Canis lupus familiaris: one gene and its partners. The protein of the gene in region 4 purifies or fractionates together with the protein of the main gene of each other region. This does not show direct contact. Links are inferred from orthologs where the notes say so. Each region holds a gene or a part of one and is shown on either strand. Other genes may lie near its edges. The genes, in order: ILK, APPL1, ARRB2, AKT1 and TUBB.

Region 1 (4,194 bases), on a different chromosome or scaffold from region 4:
ACCCAGATGTCCCCCTCTCCCGGGGGATGAGAGTGGGGGGCGTGGCCTTTAATGACTTTCCTCCACAGCTGCCCTCATCTGTTCACTTTAGAGATAGTCAAAAGCTTTCCCAGAGGTGGATTATCCCCACCTCCCCCTCTCTGAAGCAACTATCCTCCCCTACTTAATCAGTGAGTTTTGCCTCCCAGCTCTAATTTGTGCCCTGGTTTATCAGCCTGAAGTTTGTGTGGCAGGACTGGCCAGAGCCTGAGGGCAAAAGTATGAGCACAAGGTTTCTGCTGTTCGGCTGCCTGTCACCTCAGGACCACAGACTATAATCCTGAAAGCCCTGCAGGGAGTTCACCACACTTAATATCCTGCAATATAGGGTGCTTGGGCCCCCAAAGCCTATCCCCGCAAACCAGCACCAAAGCCTTCCAGTTTCAGTGATGCCACCCATTCACCCTTTGGCACCAGGGTTTTATACAATGCATCAAGTGCCCCTGGGCAACTTCACATAAACCTTTATGACCCTACCAACAAAATAGTAAGAGTGCTCAGTCTTCATCTAAGCACCCTTTGAAGAATTATGAAAGAATTATGGAAATTATGTAAAAATATGAAAAATGGAAAAGTGACCAAGAATTATGAGGAATAGCATAGAGCCTACTGAGAACCTGGGAAAGCTGGATGAAGATGACAGGTGATCCTTACTCCTCAAACCTAAAAACTGAATAAAATTTTAAAATAAAAAACCCTGAAAACCCACCATCCTGAATCATCAACATCACTACTGCTTTTCCAAAAGCCTCCTTGTCTCAGCCAACCTTGAAGAACTTGTCTACGTTCACTCTCTATTTCCTCACCTCCCATTCAACTTGCCACCAGGCTGCTTGCTGCCTTGAGGGCTGGCAGTATGTCTGGGCCTCTAGCATGGGAGGTGTTTAACCAGCACTTTAAAGAAGGAACCCAGTGTTGTTTGATTTCTTCATCCATTTTCCTCTAAGGCAGCCTTCGCAAAGATCATCAAATACTCATTATTGTAAATTCAACAGTTACTTTAAAGTGCTCAAGTTTTTTGACTTCTCAACAGCCTAAACTACTGTTGACCACTCCCCCTTCATTGAAACACTCACTTCTCTGAGCTTTACTAACATTTTCCTGTTTCTTCTGCAACCTCCAATGGCACCTTTTTAGTTAGCCTTGCAGAGTTCTCATTCCCTCTCCTTCACACCCATGTCTTCAGGTATCATCTATATGCTAACATCTCCCAAATCTGTGTCTCCAAGTCAGATTTCTCCTGAACTGCAAATCTGCATAACCAACAACCTACTCAACATTTCCACTCTGCTGTACAGTTACTTTACCATGTCACAGCAGCACTCATCATCCTTCAGCCTTGTCCAACTCAGTAAAAGCAACTATCTACCCAAGTGTCTGAGCCAGAACCCTGGTCATCATCTTTGACCTTCCTCACTCCCCACACCAAGTCTTATCAATTATTTACACTAAAGATTTCAGGAATCCAAGCACTTGTTTTTCATCTGCCCCCATTCTAGTCTAAGGCATCACCGCTCCTGGGACAGACTTAGCAATTGCCTCTCCACATGGCCACCTGCTCTTTAAAAGGTATCCAAGAGGACACTTAAGTGGACAATCTCATCATATCACAGAGGGGCTTTAAACCCTTGCTCTTAACGTTAATGACCTTATCATAGTGTAAATATCCTTGCATGATCTGGCTGACCCTTGCAGCCGACCCCTCCAGTCTTATCTTCGGTGGTTTACCACTTGTACCCAAAGCTTCAATCCATAGAAGCTCACAGAAGTCTTCTATCCTCCGGGCATATGGACCGGTGGACAATTTCCAGATTCTCTGCTCACTGTCTTGCCTCCTATATTTTGCCGATGCAGTTCACTGAGGTTGGAAAGCTCTCTGCACCCTGCGCCTGAAAAACTCTTGTTGAGCGGTCAAAATTCAGCAGAAACACAGCTTCCTCTGTGGAAACCCTCTGCCCCCCACAGGCTGTGCTTTGCACTGGTCGCACAGGGTAGGAAAGCCAGCCGCCCCCAGCCGACGTGAGCACCCCACACTGCGGAGAGGAGCTTGTCTCTGCCCTTCTCACCCACCAGCCACGTCAGCTCACCCCTGGTTGAGGTCGTTCTCCGTGTTGTCCAGCCACAGGCGAACGGCCACCGCGTTGCCCTCCCGGCACTGGGTGAAAATGTCGTCCATAGCAGCGTCCCGGCGCTGAGCGCCCTAGACTGGGGAAGCCTGGGGACTGTGGAGAGTCAGGCAGGGGGGTGAACCCCGAGCTCTGTCCCCTACCGGAGAGAAGTGTTCGTGTAGGGGGTGGGGGTCTCCCGCTCCTCCCCGGCTCCTGGAGATCTGGGAAGCAGTTCAGGGAGGCGGGATGGTCCCTGGCTGTGTCCCTGGGCGCCAGAGGAAGGCGGGTCCGCGCGAGGTAGGGGGTGGTTCGGAGGTAGAGTCCCCGACGGAGGGGTGTCGGCGAACGCGCTCTGGGACCCGCCCGCGAACTGAGCTGGGGGGAGGGGAGTCGGGCGCCCGGTACCCTGCGAGAGGCGACGGGGGTCCTTCCCGGGGGGCCCTCGTTCCCTGCTCGGTATTCGGGCCGCGCGGAGGCCGGCGAGCCGGCCGGGGTCGGGCCTCGGGGAGGGGAACGGGTGCTCCCGCACTCACCGGGACTCGGGCTGGAGGAGCCTTCTTCGGGGAACTCCCGTCTGGCCGCGCCCGCCGCGCAGCCCCGCCCCTGGCCCTCTGCGGCCAGCGCGGGCCCATTCCTCCCCCCCTCCCTCCCTCCCTCCCCCCGTCCCTCCCTCCCGCCTCCCGCCTCCCGCCTCCCTTGCCCTTCTAGCCAGCAGCGCTAAACTCGATGGTTTCCGGCGCCGCTCCGGCCGCTCTAGCCCCGCAGACTCTCACTCCTTGGTCTCCGGCGCGGTTCCGGCGGTTCGCGCGCTCCGAGGGCTGGAGACGCGTCCTGCACGTGCAGAGGCGTGTGGACCCCGCGGCCTCCCCCACCCCACCCGCATGTTTGAGGAGCCAGAGTGGGCCGACGAGGCCCCAGCAGGGACGGGCTTCCGGCCTGTAGCTCCACGGCCTCCGCCCGCCGCAGCCTCGCAGATCAAGGTGAGCGGCCGAGAAGCCCACGCAGGTGGATCCGAGCTTTGGGTCACGCCGCGTGTGGGTGAGTGTGTCGGGGCGGCGGGGCGCCTGCGGCCGGCGCGAGATCCCACTCAGTGAGAGCTGTTGAGCCGAAGTTAGTGAACACGGTTGTCTGGACGGGGAAAGCACGTGCAAAGGCTCTGGGGCAGGGAAGCGTGTCCGGGTTGTTCGGGACACACGCACACTAGTCCGCGCGGTTGGAGCACAGAGAGCTGAGAGGGTATGCCCTTGAAGTTGGAGAGGCAGAGTAGAAGTTTTGCAGATTTTAACGGTAAAGGCCAATGAAATGGTTTTAGCAGGGAGTGATTTCTTAAGATTTGCATTTTGGAAAAGCCATTGGTTGCGGTGTGGAGACTGGATTGGAGAGAGCAAGAGTGAATGACCATGAAGGATTACCAGCACTACCGTTCTCAAGGAGTGGTGCGGCGTGGGGACTGAAAACCTCCAGGTTAAATGCCTGCGCTGGGGCCACCCCGCAGGACTTCAATCCAGAAGGCCTCCTGGACAGGAGACCTTCTCCTATAAGCCTTTGCATATGTGAAAGCTGCTGTACTTCCGCAGGCTTTTCCTACCTTTCAGTCGGCGTCCAGCGTGGAATCAGCCTGCTTTATTCCTTTTCATCATCCCCTCAACCCATTGCTGTAATCAACACCCCTGGTCTCTCGGTCCACAGCCTGTCCCTTTCAGTTTATTCTCTACACTACAGCTAGACTCACGTGAAATACACACCTGTGATTGTGTCACTCTTGTTTTCAGAAACCTCCCTACCTTTTATAGAAGGATACCACCTAGAGGCAAAAGCCTGAGATGGAGGGTTGGAACTTCTGTTCTCTGGCCTTGGTCCTGTTACTTGTGGCCTTACCACATTCCTCTGGGGAACTTCCATGTTCTCATTTGCAAATTGAAGAAGTGAGGTGGGTGGTTTCTCTTCTTTCCAGCCTCCCAAAGGCTGAGATGGTGACTTAAAGGTTGGTCAGGGGCTGGCCGACATTATGAAAAGTAGTGGAGTTAACAAGGAATAATCCAGATGC
Region 2 (3,995 bases), on a different chromosome or scaffold from region 4:
GCCAGCCAGGTGTTCCTAACGGCTAGAATTTTACAAGACACTTATGATTTTGCCATTTTCTTTGCATACTGATGAAAACTTCTTGTGACTCTACAGAGAAATGCATGAGGCAGTTGTGAGGTTGGGGAAGAAGGACAAAGAACCAGGAATTCTAACCCAGACCAGGTGTTGGAATCAGAGCTTCACTCTTCTTTACTGTAAAATTAGAGGCTGAAGAAGCTATTGAAAACTTCTTCCACAACTTTTTGATCTAACAGATATGCCTGTCAGCTACCCACATAATTAACCAGTGTGTGCTAAACTTTAAAAGATGTTTTCTGGGCAGCCCGGGTGGCTCAGCGCTTTAGCGCCTGCCTTCGGCCCAGGGCGTGATCCTGGAGACCCAGGATGGGGCCTGCTTCTCCCTCTGCCTGTGTCTCTGCCAATCTGTCTCTCTCTCTCTCTCTGTGTGTGTCTTTCATGAATGGATGAATAAAATTTAAAAAAAATCGATTTAAAAAATAATTTAAAAAAAAGATGTTTTTGTTTGTGATTTATAACAACTACTGAAGTCTGAATTGAGGCACCGTAGCCCTTCCAGGCCAGGTAAGAATCGATGAATCGATAATAAAGTCTCATGTTTTTAACTGAATATACTGATATCCAAGTGCCCAGAAAAATAACTGCGGGTCTACCGTCCATACATTTACTGGGAAGCCTGCTAGTGACCCAGCTTGGGATCCCACAGCCGGCTGAGCGGGCCAGCACCCTGTCGCCGGGAGGGTGGGGGTGGGGAGCAGACTGGACGCTGCGGGCAGGGTTGCGAAGGTTGTAACTGGAGCAAGAAAGGCCCCCGGCAGTAGGGCCTCTTCCGTGGTCTCTGATGAAATGTTGCAGGAGGAGTAAAGACACCCCAAACTCCCCGGGGTGGTGGTCCTCAGACGAGGCTCTGGTTCGCTGAAAGGCGAGAGACGGTCCCCCACAATTTGCATCAACAGGCGCGCGCAGGGCGGACGGTCGCAGCGAGCAGTCAGCGCCACCCGCGAGGCCGCCGCTCACCACAGCACCCAGAGCCGCGAAGGAACCTCCGGGCTAGCCCCGCCGCGCTGACGGGCGTCGCTGCGAGCCAATGGGCGCGCCGGGAGGCGGGGCAGGGCGGCCGAGGGGGCGGGATTTCCCGCGCGGCCGCTCGGCGCCTGGCGAGAGCGGCGCGGGCGGCGACGGCGGCCGCGCCTGCGAGAGAGGGCGGGTCGGGGTCAGCTGCTGCAGGCGGGCGGGCGCGGCGAGCTGTGGGCGGCTGCCGTGTCTCCTCCTGCCGCCGCCCTCCCTCCGCCACGATGCCGGGAATCGACAAGCTGCCCATCGAGGAGACGCTGGAGGACAGCCCGCAGGTGAGGCGCGGGCGGCGGCGGGAGGCGAGGGAAAGAGCAGGGCGGGCCGACCCCAGGCCTGGCGCCGCGGCGGCCGCAGGTGCCCGCCCCGGCCCAGGTGGGCGCCGCCGTCCAGTGCCCCCGCCCGTCGCGGGCCGCGCCCCGGGTCGCCGCGGCCCGGCCGCCAGCCCGAGGCCCGCGTGGGCCTGCGCCGCTGGGCCGAGAGAGCCACCCGCGAGGTCTGGGACGTCGGCGGGCGGCGGCCGAAGCTCCGCCGCCCGCGCTCGTGGGCCCGGCGGTCACGTACGTTCGCGGGGGCTCCCTCGTATTTGACGAAAGGTGCGTTTTCATCGCCGTCATCTAAGGTCGTAAATTCCAATCCTGGGATCTCTTCGGAGGAAATGCAGAAGGAGGAAAAAAATAAAAAAATAAAACAGCACCCCCTCACCCCCTCACCCCCTCACCCCCCGTAGACTTATCCCACGACCCCTGAGCAAGCCCTTGGGGAAGGAAATGGATAGTGTTCCCTCCGGAGTTGCAGGAACGCTGCTGATTTACCCGCCTGGAGAGTCCTCGGCGAAGCCCGTCCTGTGCCTCGGAGCCTCCCCGCGGACTGTGTCCCGCGTCGTGGCCGCGGCTGTGGCCGCTGTCACTCGAGCTGTGCACGGCCGGTGACGGACGGACGGCGCCTTCGCGGCGGCACGACCAACTGCTGCGCGGAACGGTGCAGACTTGGCCCTTAATAAACTCATCAAAATAAAAGCCCCGTGTTTTGTGCTCGGGAGCGGGTGGGAGGGGTAATGCTAATGCGGTTGCTGGAGCCCCGAGACGGTCCAGGGAAACCTAGCAATTTGTTAACGTGTTCGATATTGAAGAACGAGATGAATTACATTTAAAATTACATGTTGGTAGGGCGCTGTAACTTGCATCGGGAGACCTCATCCTCAAAGCCTGTCTCCTACACAAGTGATTTAAGCGATTTAGGACCGTGTTGCTGGTTGGCCACCTCTGAAATGGTGCGCATTCAGAACTACCATTGCATACATTTCACGCGTGTCTTGACGGTTTAATATGGCCCCAAAAGATGAGGAAGTAGGGGCTAGGTCCCCCTGGCCTGTGTGACACGTCTGCTGTGACTTTGTGCCAATTTTAATTGCCAAGTGGAAGTCGGGCTCTGATTGTGGAATTGATTTTTTTTTTTTCCCCATGCCGAAAGTTATCTTCACAGGCCAGTTGTTTGCTGGTAATGTACTCTTATCAGCCTAAACTGACACAGAGAGAAACCCGCATCTTGGTTTATCTTGACTGCCAGAATAGCTAGTTCAAATTCTTTTTTTTTTTTTTTTTTTTTTTTGCTAGTTCAAATTCTTATTGATATCTGAAGTATAAAGTTAGGAGATGTATTTGTTTCAGATGTTTTGTAAAGGTTTTGTGGTACGAGTTGGTCAGGTGCACTTTGTCATCTTTTATTATGTAAGGCTCAACAGGTTGCTGTACCTTTTCTTACCTGGCCTGGTTTTTATAGCCCATAAATCTTACACGCAGGCCACAATGGGTGCCCTTGCCACGACTTGTGAGGAGGATAAAATGTGACTCATCTAATTTCTCGAACTTTTCACACAGTTTACAAATTGAGCATTCTTTTTTTTTTAAATTAAGTATGTGCCATATTAGTATCAGTTTTATAGTAATTTTTTAATGAAATAGCTGCCTTGATACTCTTTCAGTTTCTTTAAGTGATAACTTGAACTAGGTACTTTGGAAAATTAGGATAAATGGGATTTAGAAAGGGAAGACGTGGGACAGGTGGGTGGTTCAGTGGTTGAGTGTCTGCCTTTGGCTCAGGGCAGATCCCGGAGTGCCGGGATTTGAGTCCTGCATCTGGCTTATTGCATGGAGCCTACTTATCCCTCTGTCTCTCTCTGTGTGTCTCTCATGAATAAATAAATAAAATATTTTAAATTAAAAAAAAAAAAAAAAAGGGAAGATGCCTGGAAGTAATACTTAGGGAAAACTTATGGTACGATGGAAAGCCCTAGATTCTGGGATTCAGGATATAAGGGTTTTAGTCTTCACTGTGACTTCACTTTAGGGCAAGTCACTCAACTTCTCAAAATCTTAGCTGTTATAGTGAATGTTTTTATTTTTGTACCTGATTATAAAAGACATAGTCATGAAAGAAAGAAAAATTGGAAGGTACAGGAAACAGTTACCTGTCCTGCACCCAGCAGCAAACCCTGTTAACTGTGTTTCCTCATTTGCTTTTATATATTTTAATGTAATTGAAGTTATATTGTGCATAACAATTTTTAATCTGCTTTAACTTAACAATGTAGTGTTAAGCATGTTCACGTATTAAATTCTGAATAAAAAAATTTAAAGGCTGCATGTTTTTTCATGTGACTTAACAGCTGTCCTACTGTTGGACTTAAAGTTTTTCATAAGTTTTGTTTTTACATATAGGACTGAGGTTAATGCTTTGGGGCATAAATTTTTGTCCTCATTTGGAATATTTATTTAGGATAGAGTCCAGGAAGTTGAGTAGCAAAGCGTATGAAAACTTTTAAAGTTCCTGGTATAGAGAAGTTTTTATTTAGATCATTAGATCCTAACCAGAAGTGGTCTGCCAGTGCTGAGAAAAAAAAG
Region 3 (3,509 bases), on a different chromosome or scaffold from region 4:
ATGCCTCCCCCAGCCACTTTATTTACAGTGGCTGCACCCTGCCCGCTCCCTGCCCCCTACTATCTCCCATCTCTAACCTGCTGCTTCTCAGCACTCATCCCTTATCTGTCTTCCCTGCCTAGAAGCTCCACCTGCTCTGTTCCCCGATCAAGCCCCGGCACCCAGGACACAGCCTGACACGCAGCCGGCCCTGAAGGGGCATGTACGCCCTAGGCTGCAGAGGGGGGACGCCCCAAACCCCACCCACACCCCCGCCCCCACCCAGCCTGGTCTCACATGGTGCTGGAGGCCAAGTTGGTGTCTTCATGCTTGAGCTTCCCGTCCAGGGCAAGACCGCGCTTCTCCCGGTTGTCACTGAGCAGCGGGGTGATGGTGTACACCTTGCAGAATGTGGAACTGGGTGACACCTGGTCACTGGGGGGTGGGAGCAAGAGAACGAGGCTCTAGGAGGGGCCAGATGCCCACCCCCAGCGGCTTCTCCACTACCACCCACCCTTTTGTGTTTGGGCTGCAGGTATGAGGAGTAGGATGTGCTCAGAGCCACCTGCTGATGGAGGGAATCCCCTTCCTTGTAGGTAGAGTGGGTTCATTCCATCCTCACCCCATCACCCCCCACCCCTGCCTATGGTCCTGCCCTAAGGTGGGGCTCTGGCCATCCTGCTACTCACTCTTGTTCGATCTGAGCCACAGGACACTTATACTGGGCAGTGCTGAAGAGGCAGATGTCAGCATACTGTCTCACTGTGGGGTGAGGGGGTGGTGAAGCAGCCGTGCAGGAAGCTCAGGCTGCTGCCCCGCTGGGACCCACCCCCACCACCCCAGGCTGCATCTAATTCTGGGGTGTGTCCCTGGGGCCAACATGACCAGGAGCCACATGGGCACCCCCAAAACCCCCCTCAATTCCCCTTCTGTCACCCCGCTTACCGGAGACTTTGATTTTCTTGATGGTCTTGGTGGAGTTGTTGGTGACGTGGACGTTGACGTTGAGGGGCTCCCCGTGGTAGTACAGCTTTTGAGGGGAAGGGTCCAGTTAGTGCTGTCTGCTGGCACCAGCCTCATGATCAGCGTTCCTCCCGCCTGCCCCACACACAGACACCCGGGGTCCTGGCAGCCAGCTTCAGGCCTCGGCCAGGGGGCTATGCACGCTGCGGCACCTGTGCCACCCTCCTGCACCCCACCTCTTTGTCCAGGGAAGCCTCTAGATGCAGGGACCGGTCAGACATGAGGAAGTGGCGTGTGGTTTCTGCTGATGGCTGGGGGCCGGGTTTCTCCGGGGCAAATTGCACCTTTCGAATCACCAGCCGCACAGAGTTCCTGGGGGTGGGGAGGAGGGGAGGGAGGGGCCGGTCCTTAGATACCCAGACCCCCACTGCTGGTCTGATGGAGGGGCGGGGGTGCCTGGGGCTCCGGGGAGCGGGGAGGGAAGGGTCAGACCACAGGGGAGCTCACATCCCCTCACCTTTTGTGGCTTTTCTCTTCTAGAGATTTGGCACAGAAGGCTCGGATCTCAAAGTCTACTCCACAGGCCTGGGAGGGAGAAAAGGTCACATCTTACACAAGGCTCCTGACACCACCACACCCTTCCTTCCCTCTTCCCTCGCCTTGCCTCGGGGGTGGGGGTGGGGGGTTCTTGCCCCATTGCAGTCTGGTGTGAGGCACACAGGGCTGGGGGCTCCGTCCTCTGCCCCTGCCCCCGACACCCAGTCTACTGGGCAGGGCACTGTTCCTGTCTGTGCAAGGTCACCCCCGGCCCCGGGGTCCAGGATCCCCTGTCCTGCCCAGGCTGCTCCCCAACAGCCCCTTCCCGGGGTATCCCCAGCTCCCGCTGGGCCCTGTGCTGTCCTGAGCCCTCAGAGCCATCCCTGCCCTACCTTCCCCGTGTCCTCTGGGCCCGGCTGCAGGGTGACAGAGCAGGGCAGGTTCTGGGGTATCTGTGGTGGAGGCAAGGGGAGGCTTCAGTTCTTCCCAAGAGCCCCCCCCACCAAAATTTCTCCCAATCCCAACTAAGAGTCTGGAAAAGGAGGCGGGGGGGGGGGTGAGAGAGGAAGAAGGAAGGGGGGACCCCAGGGAGGATGCAGAGACAAGGGTGCTGGGTGACCCTGAAGTGACAGGGCAGGGGGGTCCTCACTGTTTCTTCCAGATCCATCTGTGACAGGTGCCCACCCCCCAAGCTCAGCCCTAGACCCCTTGCCCTGTACAGGGTGAGGAGCATCCTCACTGTGAAGAAAAATGGGTGGGCATGCTGGCCCAGCTTCCTCAGCAGCCGGTCCTGCAGGCGAGTGGGGGGCTGGGGTGGGTTGGGCCCGGGGGGGAAGGCCTGGTAGGTGGCAATGAACAGGTCTTTGCGGAAGGACAGGCCCAGCACATCCAGGTCCTCGCGGCCATAGCGGAAGGCGCAGGTGAGGGTCACAAACACTAAGAGGGAGGGCAAGGGGGGGCGGTCAGGACCCTTAGCCCCAGCCCCCCGGCCCCTAGCAGCATCAAAGCTGCCCAAACCCACTTCCCCTTCTGTCCCTGCCCTCTGTGTCCCTGGAGTCGACTCTCCATGTCTGGGATTGGCCCTCCATGTCCCCGGGGTCGTGTCAGTGCCAGCGCACCCCACCTCCCCAGGCCCCCTCCACCTGGCCAGTACCTTTGCGATCCTTCAAGTAGTCTGGGTCCACGAGCACCACGCCATCTGGGAGGGGAACACATGAGCTCGTTTCCTGCCAGGGCCTCCCCACTATCCCTGGGCCCAGGAGCCTCTCCTCCTCCCAGGGCACCTGCTGCTGCTTTCTGGGCACACTTACCCACAGGATCTACTTTGTCCAGGTGATCCACAAAGTCCCGCTTGCCCAAGTACACAGTGAGCTAAGGGTACAGAGGGGCACAGGGAAGATAGGGTGGGAGGTTGAGGGGCATCAGAGCCCTTCAGGGTGCCTGCCCTGCCCCTAGTCCTTCCAGGCTGAAGTATCCTTGGGGTCTCCTCCCAGCGGGCTCAGAAGGGCAGAACAGTGGAGTTTCCCAGGGTCCCCAACCTTGAAGCTCTTCACACCTCTGCCCATAAGTCAGGCAAGTGTGAAGTGTGTATGAGTGGTGGGGCGGGGTAGTGGTGGGACAGGCCACAGGTAGGTCAGCTAGAGAGCAGGGTATGGCCTTGCTGGCTCCCCTCCAGGGGCTCTGGGAGACGCAGGCCATAGCCTGGGGAGCTGCTGACCCTTCCCAGCCCTGGGAAAGCTGGCTCCTCAAAGGGGTACAGCCTAGGGCTCCTGGCCCCTCCCCCTGCATCTTGCCGAGGGACACAGACCTTCCCCACCCAGCCCCGTGGCTGGCTCAGGTTGAGCGGCCTTTGTGGCAAGGGGCTTCAGGAGGGAAGGAAGTCAGCTCTTAGCTGTCACAGGAAGTGGGGAGCCAGGGGTTGGGGATTGGCTAGGGGCAGGCTGGGCCTTGCAGGGGCCCAGAGAGGAAAAGCAGCCTGGGAGACTCACCTTGCAGTTAGGGCTTGACTTCTTGAAGACCCTAACAAAACA
Region 4 (3,941 bases):
CAGGCGGCTCGCTGCTCCAGCACATGCACGCCCCGTGCCGGGCCCCGGGGTGGTGCGGAGCCCCCCCAGCCCAGGCCCGAGGCGGGCAGCAGGCCAGGCGCAGCACCTCAGCCCTGGCCTCAGGAGCCCTCGGGCAGTGCCCCGGGCCGCCAGCGAGCCAGGCCTTGGACGCGCCCCAGTGGCCTCCCTGCCTTCCAGGAAAGCGGGCAGGGAGGTGGCGGTGGCTCTCCCGCCCTAGGGACCCGGCCAGGCGGCCACTACGCCAGCCCGGCCACCCGAGGGGAGCCGGCCCCGGGACCCCTGCCCCAGCCCCAAGCCCCGCGGGCACTGACCTCTCTTGTGCAGCCAACCCTCCTTCACGATGGCCACGTCGTTCATGGCGCCCTGCTCCAGCGGGCCGGGGCCACCCCAGCGCCCCTCGCTGGCCCCTCTCAGCAGGGTCTCCCCGAGGCCAGCCGGCGTACCCAGCCTCTGGAAAAATCAAGGGGCAGCGTGTGAGGTTGTGTCCACCCCTCCAGCCCCACGGTGAGGCCAGGAGGCCCTGCGCACCCAGGATCCCCTGCGGGGTCCTCCCACCCCCTCACAGCCCTGAGCCACAGCCACTCCCCATGGCTCCCACCACGGCCCCCGACAGAGTCCAGGTTACCAGCCCTGCTCCCTGGGGCCGAGGCTGCAATCCCCCTGCCACCCCTCTCTGACCCCCAGGTCCCCAGGGTCTGCTGGCCCTCCTACATTCCCACTTCCCCCCGCCTGGCCACAGACCATTCCCCACCCCAGAGGCCCTCCGGGTATATCCCAGCCTCCCTAACCTGCCACCTCCTCCAGGCAGCCCCTCTGACTGCTCTGGTCTATGCTGCTTGGCCTCTCCAGGGCCCTGGTGAGTGCCCCTGAGCTCCCTGCCCACAGGCCGGGGTTCCTCCTTCTCGCCCCAGACTAGGAAAGAGGAGAAATTCAAACAGAACAAAGTAGGGCCAGGAGACCAGGCGGCTGGCGCAAATGAGAGCCCGGAGCCCTCCAGGGTGACATAAAATACCTCCCCCCAAGAAACCCCAAGCCCCTCCTAAACCACAGCACCCCTGCCGGTCTGAATCTGGTTCATTCATCCGGCCAGCACGGACCAGGCATCTCTGGTTTCGCCAGGCTCGGCCCCGGGGACAAAGAGAGGTTCACATGGTCCCATCTGAGAAGCACCCAGTCCAGGCTGGTCACAGACCCATAATTACAGCATTCAGGAGGCAACAAATGGGGGGGTGCTCTAGACAAATGCAGAGGCCCTGGCACCCGCCCTGGCCCACCAGCAGCCTTCCCTGGAGCAGACACTCTGGCCATTGAACCTGAGGGGCCCTCCCCGTCGCTCCCTGCTGGATGAACTCCTAGGCATCCCTCAAAACCCAGTTCACACCTTCACCCACTCTGTGCGTCCTGGGAGAGAGCACTCTTCCTGGGCGCAGTCCTCTGCGAGCCCTCCACGCGAGCACTGCCGAGGGCAGCCCGGGAGCCTCTCGACTCGGGGACCTCGGGCCCAGGACGCCAGGGGACCTCCGCAGCGAGCCCAGCTCGGCTCTTCCTACAGCTGCCTAGGCACCCTCTGGCCACGCACCTTACCGGCCTCCTGGGGCAGGGTGAGGACCCAGGGGAGGCTGCTCTGAACCTACGGTCTTAGGCTAAATTTAGAAGAGCGAGAAGCCCCCGCTGGCTGTGTGTACCGCCAGGCCAGGGAACACACTTTGCCCAGGGAGAAAGTGCCCAACGGGCCCCGCAGGCCACCGGCAGCCGAGCGCGGGGAGCAAGACCTCCAAGGACAGGGCTCCGAGCCCCGAGCCCCGGGGCAGGCCGGGGCCCCTCTGGGGACACAAGTGGGCGTGGCCTGGAGGCAGAGGGCTGGCCTCGGAGACCTCTGGATGTCCCCCGCCCCCACCCTGGCCTACGTGGGGCCGCGGCTGACAGAGTCAGACAGCTGTCGAGCCCCGCGTGTAAAAATATATCTGTGCACACACACAGGCTGGTGTGCATCTGCAGAGAAACGCACGCAGCAGGCCAGCGCGGCAGCCTCGGGGCGCACTCGGGGCGCACGGCCGCAGGGACGGGGTCCCCGTTTCCCACGGCTTCCGGACCCCAGGGCCTCCACCCCGAGGGCTGCTAGCGTCGTTATTATTTAGGGGATGGCTCAGGAGGCGCTGCCTGCGCTCACAGGGCCCCTTCCTCTGCCTCCAAAGGCCGCCGTGGGGCCGCGGGCTCAGCTCGCGCAGGGCAGGGGACCCAGGCCCGCCAGGCGCCCCCGCCCTCCCGTTGCACCGGGCTCGGGGCACACCCGGGCCCCCGCCCCCCGACAGCGCGCAGGAACCCCCGGCCGGGTGGGCGGCGCCCCCGGGCCCACCGCTCAGGCGCAGGCTGCAGGCCCGCAGCGGGCGCGGCCCACAAAGGCCGCCGGGCACCTCGCCATCACGTACAACTTTCCGTCTCGCGGCCGCGGAGGGCTCCGCCGCGGGGCCCCCCGCAAACTCGCCGCGGCCGCCGCACCCCGCGAGCGCCCCGCGCCCCGCGGCCGCCGCCTCCAAGGTCAGGAGGGAGGCCGGGCGCACCCCGCACCCCGCCGCCCGCCGCCCGCCGCCCCGGCCCGGCCCGGCCCGGCCCGCGCCCTCCCCGCCCAGGCCGCGCTCGGCCACTTCCTGCTCCGCTCCCCGCCCCCGCCGCGCCCGGGCCGCCGCCGCCAACAAAGCGCCCGCGGGAGGAAGTCGGGCCGGGGCGCGGGCGGGGCACTCACCGGGCGCCTCCGGGCCGAGCGCGGGCCTAGCCGGGCCGCGGCCTCCGGCGCCCGCCGCTCCGCATCCCCGCGCGCCCGCCGGGCGGGGCCGGGCTGGAGGCCGCGGCGGGCGGGCGCTGGGCGGGCGGGGCTCCGCGCCGCCGGGCCCGGTGCTCGTGGCGGCCGCCGGCTCGCGTCCCCCGGCTGCGCTGCTGCGCTGGCTGCGCTGGGCCGCCCGCCCGCCCGCCCGCCGCGCTCGTCCCGCCGCCGCCGCCTCCGCCTCCGCCGCCGCCGCCGGCCCGCCCTCTCCCCGCCCCGCGCCGCCCCGCCCGGCCGCCCGCCCACATCCGCCTCCGCCGCCCGGGGCGCCCCCGGCGCGGCCGGGGCGAGGGCGCGGCGCCGGGAGCGCGCGGCAGGCGGCAGGCGGCGGCCCAGGCTCCCCGCGGCCGCGTGCTGCCCGGCCTCAGTTTCCCGGCGCGGCCCGGTTCCGCCGCGGCCGGTGGGGCCTTCCCGGGGCTCCTGCCCCCGTGCGCGGGGGGAGGATGCCCGGGGGGGGGGGCGCAGCCGAGGTGACCCTCAAAGGCCCGAGGCACGACCCGGCCCCCCCATGGGGCCTGGGACCCCGGCTGCAATGCGCGCCCGGGACACGGGGGCTGCGGAGGGAGGGGTCCCAGGCCCCCGGGCTGCAGAGCCACCTTGCCCTGGGCACGACCCTCCATCCCTGGCCGCGCCTTCCCAGAGCTGCCCGTGGCCCCGAAGCAAGACACCGACAGCTCTACAGGAGCAGATGGGGGGCTTCCCACGGTGACAGCGGGACAAGCGGGCCCCAGGGACTGTGGCGGCTTCCAGCGCACACCTGGCGGGCGGTGCCTGTCCTGGGCTGGGACAGACACCCAGAGAAGGGCTGTCAGAGGGCAGCCCAGGCCCCTGCCCGCCACCCAGTGGGGCCCCGGCCTCCCACAGTCCACCGGGCAGGGGTGGGCAGCGAGGCGCGGGCGAGGCGGGAGGACACTGCAGATGACCCCTCCCCGGGCCCTGCACTCGGCTAGAGCCAGAGATTTCTCCAACAGCTGCCCCTCCCCCCACCCCTGAGGCCTCCAAGTCTTAGCGATCCTTTTGTGAAAGGAAAACTCCGCGAGTTACGCTCCAGGAGCGTGTGTTCTGTGGGGGAGAGGGCCACTTCGGTTCCTTATCCAGG
Region 5 (4,234 bases), on a different chromosome or scaffold from region 4:
TGGGAAGGGCACCATGTTGACTGCCAGCTTGCGGAGGTCAGCATTGAGCTGACCAGGGAAGCGGAGGCAGGTGGTGACACCACTCATGGTGGCTGAGACAAGGTGGTTGAGGTCCCCATAGGTTGGCGTGGTCAGCTTGAGGGTGCGGAAGCAGATGTCGTACAGGGCCTCATTGTCAATGCAATAGGTCTCATCCGTGTTCTCTACCAACTGATGGACAGAGAGAGTGGCATTGTAGGGCTCAACCACCGTGTCAGACACTTTGGGGGAGGGCACCACACTGAAGGTGTTCATGATGCGGTCAGGGTACTCTTCTCGGATCTTGCTGATGAGCAGCGTGCCCATGCCAGAGCCTGTGCCCCCACCCAGTGAGTGGGTCAGCTGGAAGCCCTGCAGGCAGTCACAGCTCTCAGCTTCCTTCCGCACCACATCCAGGACTGAGTCCACTAGCTCAGCCCCCTCTGTGTAGTGGCCCTTGGCCCAGTTGTTGCCAGCCCCAGACTGCCCTGGAATGAGGTGAACAAAATTCTCTTTATTAGCAAAGCATCAAAGATAAAGGACCATTTCCACTCTTCAGCTTTTAAAATAACATACACGAATGTGCCTTTTTTCTTACTCACCTGTGATACATCCCTGCCTCAGTATCTACCATCTAAGGCGGTCATTCCCAACACCCTGCGTTAGAGATCTCAAAACATATCCCCAGATAAACGCTCCAGCATTAAAAATAACTTCTTAGCTCTTGCAGTCTCCTTCCTTCAAATACACTGAATAGCACTACTAATATGTGCATAACTCACCAAAAACAAAGTTGTCTGGTCTGAATATCTGCCCAAAAGGACCAGAGCGAACAGAGTCCATGGTCCCAGGTTCTAGATCCACCAAGATAGCACGAGGTACGTATTTGCCACCTATATGGAAGAAAGAATAAGAATTGGTGGACTAGAAGACCAAATGGAGCTGAGCTGGAGGACACCAGGGGGCAGCAGAGCTGATCTTTTGCCCCACCGTGAAGTCAAATCAGGGTAAGACCTTCTTTAAAAATCAGACCCATCCCAAGGTGGGTTCTCCAGGGCTGGAAAGGAGACCCCGGAGAAGTGGGAGCCCCGCGTTCCCCGTTCCCGCCCTCACCTGTAGCTTCGTTGTAATACACGGAGATGCGATCCAGCTGCAGGTCGCTGTCACCGTGGTAGGTTCCGGTGGGATCGATGCCGTGTTCATCGCTGATGACCTCCCAGAACTGCCGAGGAAGAGCAGGGAGACTTGCACAGCTCTGGTCCCAGCCAGTGATGCCCACCCGACCGACACATTTCAAGTGCAAACACGCACACGGAGAGCGCACCTCCGCCGCCTACCGGGCGCTCTGCTTGCCTGCCGCGCCCTCCACCAGACACCCGCAGCCCCCTAAGGGCTGCAGCGTCCACTGCTCGGGTGCAGCCGCGGAGGCCCGGCGACCGGTGGACGCGGTGCGGTGGGGGTGTGCCGGGCGGAGGCTTCCGAGCCGAGCCGACCGGCACACCCTCCCCCCGCGCACGAGCCGGGGCGAGGGACAGAAGCCGCCGCAGTGGACGCCCCTCCACGTGACTGCGGCGCCCGCCCGTCGGCGCTGACAAAGGGAGGCGTCGCGCGTGGGCGGGGGCCTGTGCCGCTAGCGCGCCCCCAGCCGGCCAGCCCGGCGCTTGGAGCCCCGCCCCGCCCCGCCCAGCCCCGGGCTACAACGTAGCAGCAGGACTTCCTCCCTGCCCTGCCCCCGCCACACTGTAACCGCGCGCAGAAAAAGAAACTACCCCCACCTCCCGCTTGAGCCTCCGATTTTCTTCCTTGGCTAGCTTGTTATACCTGGCTTTAAGTACGGCTTCTCGGCCCTTCTCCCACCGTTTAGCCCTGAGGGACCCTTGAAAGAAAAGGATCCTCCCGCCCTCTTTCTCCATATCGGTGCACGCCCTAAAAGGGTCTCTTTACTGGAGATGAAAGGAAATTAATACTGCAGGGACCAATCTTCCATCCACAAGGGCCTACGGGACCGCCCCTCGCGGACTGCCCTCATTTTTGGGGCGGGCACCGCGCGGTGCAGCCCACCCTGGCGCGTCGCGCCCCCCTCCCCACCGTGGGCCCAGGACCCCGCGGCCGCCGCCCAGCCGCGCTCCCTGTCCCCCTCCCTTCCGTGGAGCCGGGCCCCCCCCCGCGGAGGGGATGCACACGGGGACAGCCTCTCCGCGCTGTATCTCGGACCGTTTCCGCATCTCCTCTCTCCCCGTTCCTCGGACCACTACAACACTTTCAAGTAAAATTTTAAAGAGCCAGTCTTCCGACTCCAAACCCGAAACGTCCTCAAAAGCTCACCCAAAATTAGCCAGCCAAGTACAATTCCCCCATTTTTCAAAAGTAAATTCTAGCTGCAACCGTGTATTGTATATGGAAAACTTTTGAGGGCAAAGCGGGACAATGGATGGAACGCAAATATGTCCCACATTCTTCATCATTTAGCTGGATTTGTTTTTCTTCTAAAAAAAAAATAGTTAAAAGAAAAGGCTTAAAATCCTTACCTTGGCACCGATCTGGTTACCACACTGACCGGCCTGGATGTGCACGATTTCCCTCATTGTTAAAATTTATTTTAATTCTTTTTGCTTCTCTCAAAGGTGTGTACGGGGCAGAAAGTGAGATGGGGTTTTTTCCTATACTGCAATTCGCAGGCTGGAAGGATGGGACGCGTCCAGAGGCTGGAGCAACGAGGTCCGAGCGCAGCGACAGGAACGTTGAGATGTAGAAAGAAGCGGGGAGGGCGAAGAAGGAGGAAAGGCGGGCAGGGCGGGGCGCGCGTGCGCGGAGGCTGCAGGCGGGAGAGCGCCCGCGCCGCGGCAGGCAGACAAAGCCTCGCTGGAGTGGGCCCCGATTGGTCAGTGCCGGTCACGTAGGTCTCGTCTATTGGGCTCCGCTCGGGTGGATGAACGCTGGCCTCCCTGGGAGTCGTAGTCCTCCATTGTTGTCTACGCTGGAAAATGAAGGGAGGGATGAGTGGATACTGGATTTTTGGTTGGGGGGGGGGTAGAGTTGGCCTTGTTGTTGTTTTTTAATGAAAAATGACCTTGCGCAAATTTCTTTCCCCTACACTTGAGTTTTTTGTACTAAAAGGGAGTCATTTGGGGGGGATACAGGCATTGGGAACCCTGGGGTGCCAGGAGTTGGAAGGCGAAGTGGGCACGCCCTGAACGTTCCCTGCTGCGGTAGCTCTTGGTAAGAGGGCTGCTTAGCTCAGCTAAAACTGGGGAGAAATGCGGCACCCTGCTCTGGTAGCAAACAGCGGGTCCTTCGGTGACCCACGGCATGAAATCCAGGAAGCCGCTGCTCCCCCAGATAGGAAAAACGGGATGGCCCTCCTGTTATTTCCTTGGAAATTTTCTAATGATAATGTTTAGAAAGAGAAACAAAAATGCAGCAATAGGTTTTCAGAGTAGAGATGTAATTGAGGGTGTGTTCAAATAAATTGAATGGTTTAGAAAAGCTGGTATGTAGAATCTGTGAAGTCAGAAGTCTATCCATGAAAGTGATGAAGTTTTTGGAATTATAAGGTGAGGTTCGGAGCCGACGACCAAGAAAGGATTCTTGAGACATCTTTGGTGCAAAATGGTGGTTTTATTAAAGCAGGGGGACAGGACCCGTGGGCAGGAAGAGCTGCTGCCCGGTGAGGGGTGGCTGATTATATACCTGGGAGTTGGGAGGGGTTTGAGGATAGCGTACTCTCTAAGGAATTTGGAAGCAAGGTTTCCAGGACCTTGAGGGGACCAGCTATTGTTGGGAAAAGGTCACTTATTACCGGCTAATAAAACCTGATTCGTGAGACCCTTTAGATGTGTGTGGGTGGGCCATGTGCTTAGGGGATGATTGCCAACATGTATCTTGTGGGTTTAGATAAAGGATCTTTCTAAAGGAATTTTTATGTTAAAAAGACTTACAGGATCCTGGGGGTTGGGCTAAGATTGCCTTTTCTCCTTAGCAAAGTATGAACATCGAGGCAGTTGAGTCCGTAGAGGAAGGTCCCTCTGCCTGTTTCAAGGGCTTGTCAATGTGCTGCCCTGGGCTTGTGCTTTGTCCTCAGCCAGTCCTCTGTTCCCCCATCAAAAGGGGTTCTTAGGGCAGCCCTGGTGGCTCAGCGGTTTAGCGCGCCTTCGCAGGGCGTGATCCTGGAGACACGGAGTCGAGTCCCACATCGGGCTCCCTACATGGAGCCTGC

The links.
Region 1: the proteins of AKT1 (region 4) and ILK purify together in Homo sapiens (affinity purification with western blotting; 3 studies listed by BioGRID). This does not show direct contact. The link is inferred for Canis lupus familiaris from reciprocal best matches to the Homo sapiens genes AKT1 and ILK.
Region 2: the proteins of AKT1 (region 4) and APPL1 purify together in Homo sapiens (affinity purification with western blotting; 3 studies listed by BioGRID, with this or other methods). This does not show direct contact. The link is inferred for Canis lupus familiaris from reciprocal best matches to the Homo sapiens genes AKT1 and APPL1.
Region 3: the proteins of AKT1 (region 4) and ARRB2 purify together in Homo sapiens (affinity purification with western blotting; 4 studies listed by BioGRID and IntAct, with this or other methods). This does not show direct contact. The link is inferred for Canis lupus familiaris from reciprocal best matches to the Homo sapiens genes AKT1 and ARRB2.
Region 5: the proteins of AKT1 (region 4) and TUBB purify together in Homo sapiens (affinity purification with mass spectrometry, with the first as the bait; 3 studies listed by BioGRID). This does not show direct contact. The link is inferred for Canis lupus familiaris from reciprocal best matches to the Homo sapiens genes AKT1 and TUBB.

Annotation. Positions count from the first base shown.
Region 1 is NC_049242.1:30,417,840-30,422,033, reverse strand, and holds the start of ILK (integrin-linked protein kinase), read right to left. Parts: upstream 2,809-4,194; 5' UTR 2,681-2,808; exon of another isoform or gene 2,553-2,680; intron 2,268-2,552; exon of another isoform or gene 2,262-2,267; 5' UTR 2,216-2,261; coding exon 2,127-2,215; intron 1,929-2,126; exon of another isoform or gene 1,696-1,928; coding exon of another isoform or gene 1,688-1,695; intron 1-1,687. Other genes in the region: RRP8 (ribosomal RNA-processing protein 8), read left to right, coding at 3,029-3,127. UniProt on the Homo sapiens protein: Scaffold protein which mediates protein-protein interactions during a range of cellular events including focal adhesion assembly, cell adhesion and cell migration.
Region 2 is NC_049241.1:33,415,262-33,419,256, reverse strand, and holds the start of APPL1 (DCC-interacting protein 13-alpha), read left to right. Parts: upstream 1-1,189; 5' UTR 1,190-1,316; coding exon 1,317-1,370; intron 1,371-1,656; exon of another isoform or gene 1,657-1,739; intron 1,740-1,907; exon of another isoform or gene 1,908-2,087; intron 2,088-3,995. UniProt on the Homo sapiens protein: Multifunctional adapter protein that binds to various membrane receptors, nuclear factors and signaling proteins to regulate many processes, such as cell proliferation, immune response, endosomal trafficking and cell metabolism.
Region 3 is NC_049226.1:32,039,428-32,042,936, forward strand, and holds part of ARRB2 (beta-arrestin-2), read right to left. Parts: intron 3,499-3,509; coding exon 3,468-3,498; intron 2,851-3,467; coding exon 2,790-2,850; intron 2,678-2,789; coding exon 2,633-2,677; intron 2,416-2,632; coding exon 2,129-2,415; intron 1,932-2,128; coding exon 1,872-1,931; intron 1,528-1,871; coding exon 1,460-1,527; intron 1,315-1,459; coding exon 1,179-1,314; intron 1,010-1,178; coding exon 925-1,009; intron 742-924; coding exon 669-741; intron 415-668; coding exon 277-414; intron 1-276. UniProt on the Homo sapiens protein: Functions in regulating agonist-mediated G-protein coupled receptor (GPCR) signaling by mediating both receptor desensitization and resensitization processes.
Region 4 is NC_049229.1:72,734,909-72,738,849, forward strand, and holds the start of AKT1 (RAC-alpha serine/threonine-protein kinase), read right to left. Parts: upstream 2,809-3,941; 5' UTR 2,765-2,808; intron 1,422-2,764; exon of another isoform or gene 1,403-1,421; intron 934-1,402; exon of another isoform or gene 810-933; intron 472-809; 5' UTR 379-471; coding exon 333-378; intron 1-332. UniProt on the Homo sapiens protein: AKT1 is one of 3 closely related serine/threonine-protein kinases (AKT1, AKT2 and AKT3) called the AKT kinase, and which regulate many processes including metabolism, proliferation, cell survival, growth and angiogenesis.
Region 5 is NC_049233.1:649,856-654,089, reverse strand, and holds the start of TUBB (tubulin beta chain), read right to left. Parts: upstream 2,804-4,234; 5' UTR 2,604-2,803; coding exon 2,547-2,603; intron 1,241-2,546; coding exon 1,132-1,240; intron 912-1,131; coding exon 801-911; intron 507-800; coding exon 1-506. UniProt on the Homo sapiens protein: Tubulin is the major constituent of microtubules, a cylinder consisting of laterally associated linear protofilaments composed of alpha- and beta-tubulin heterodimers.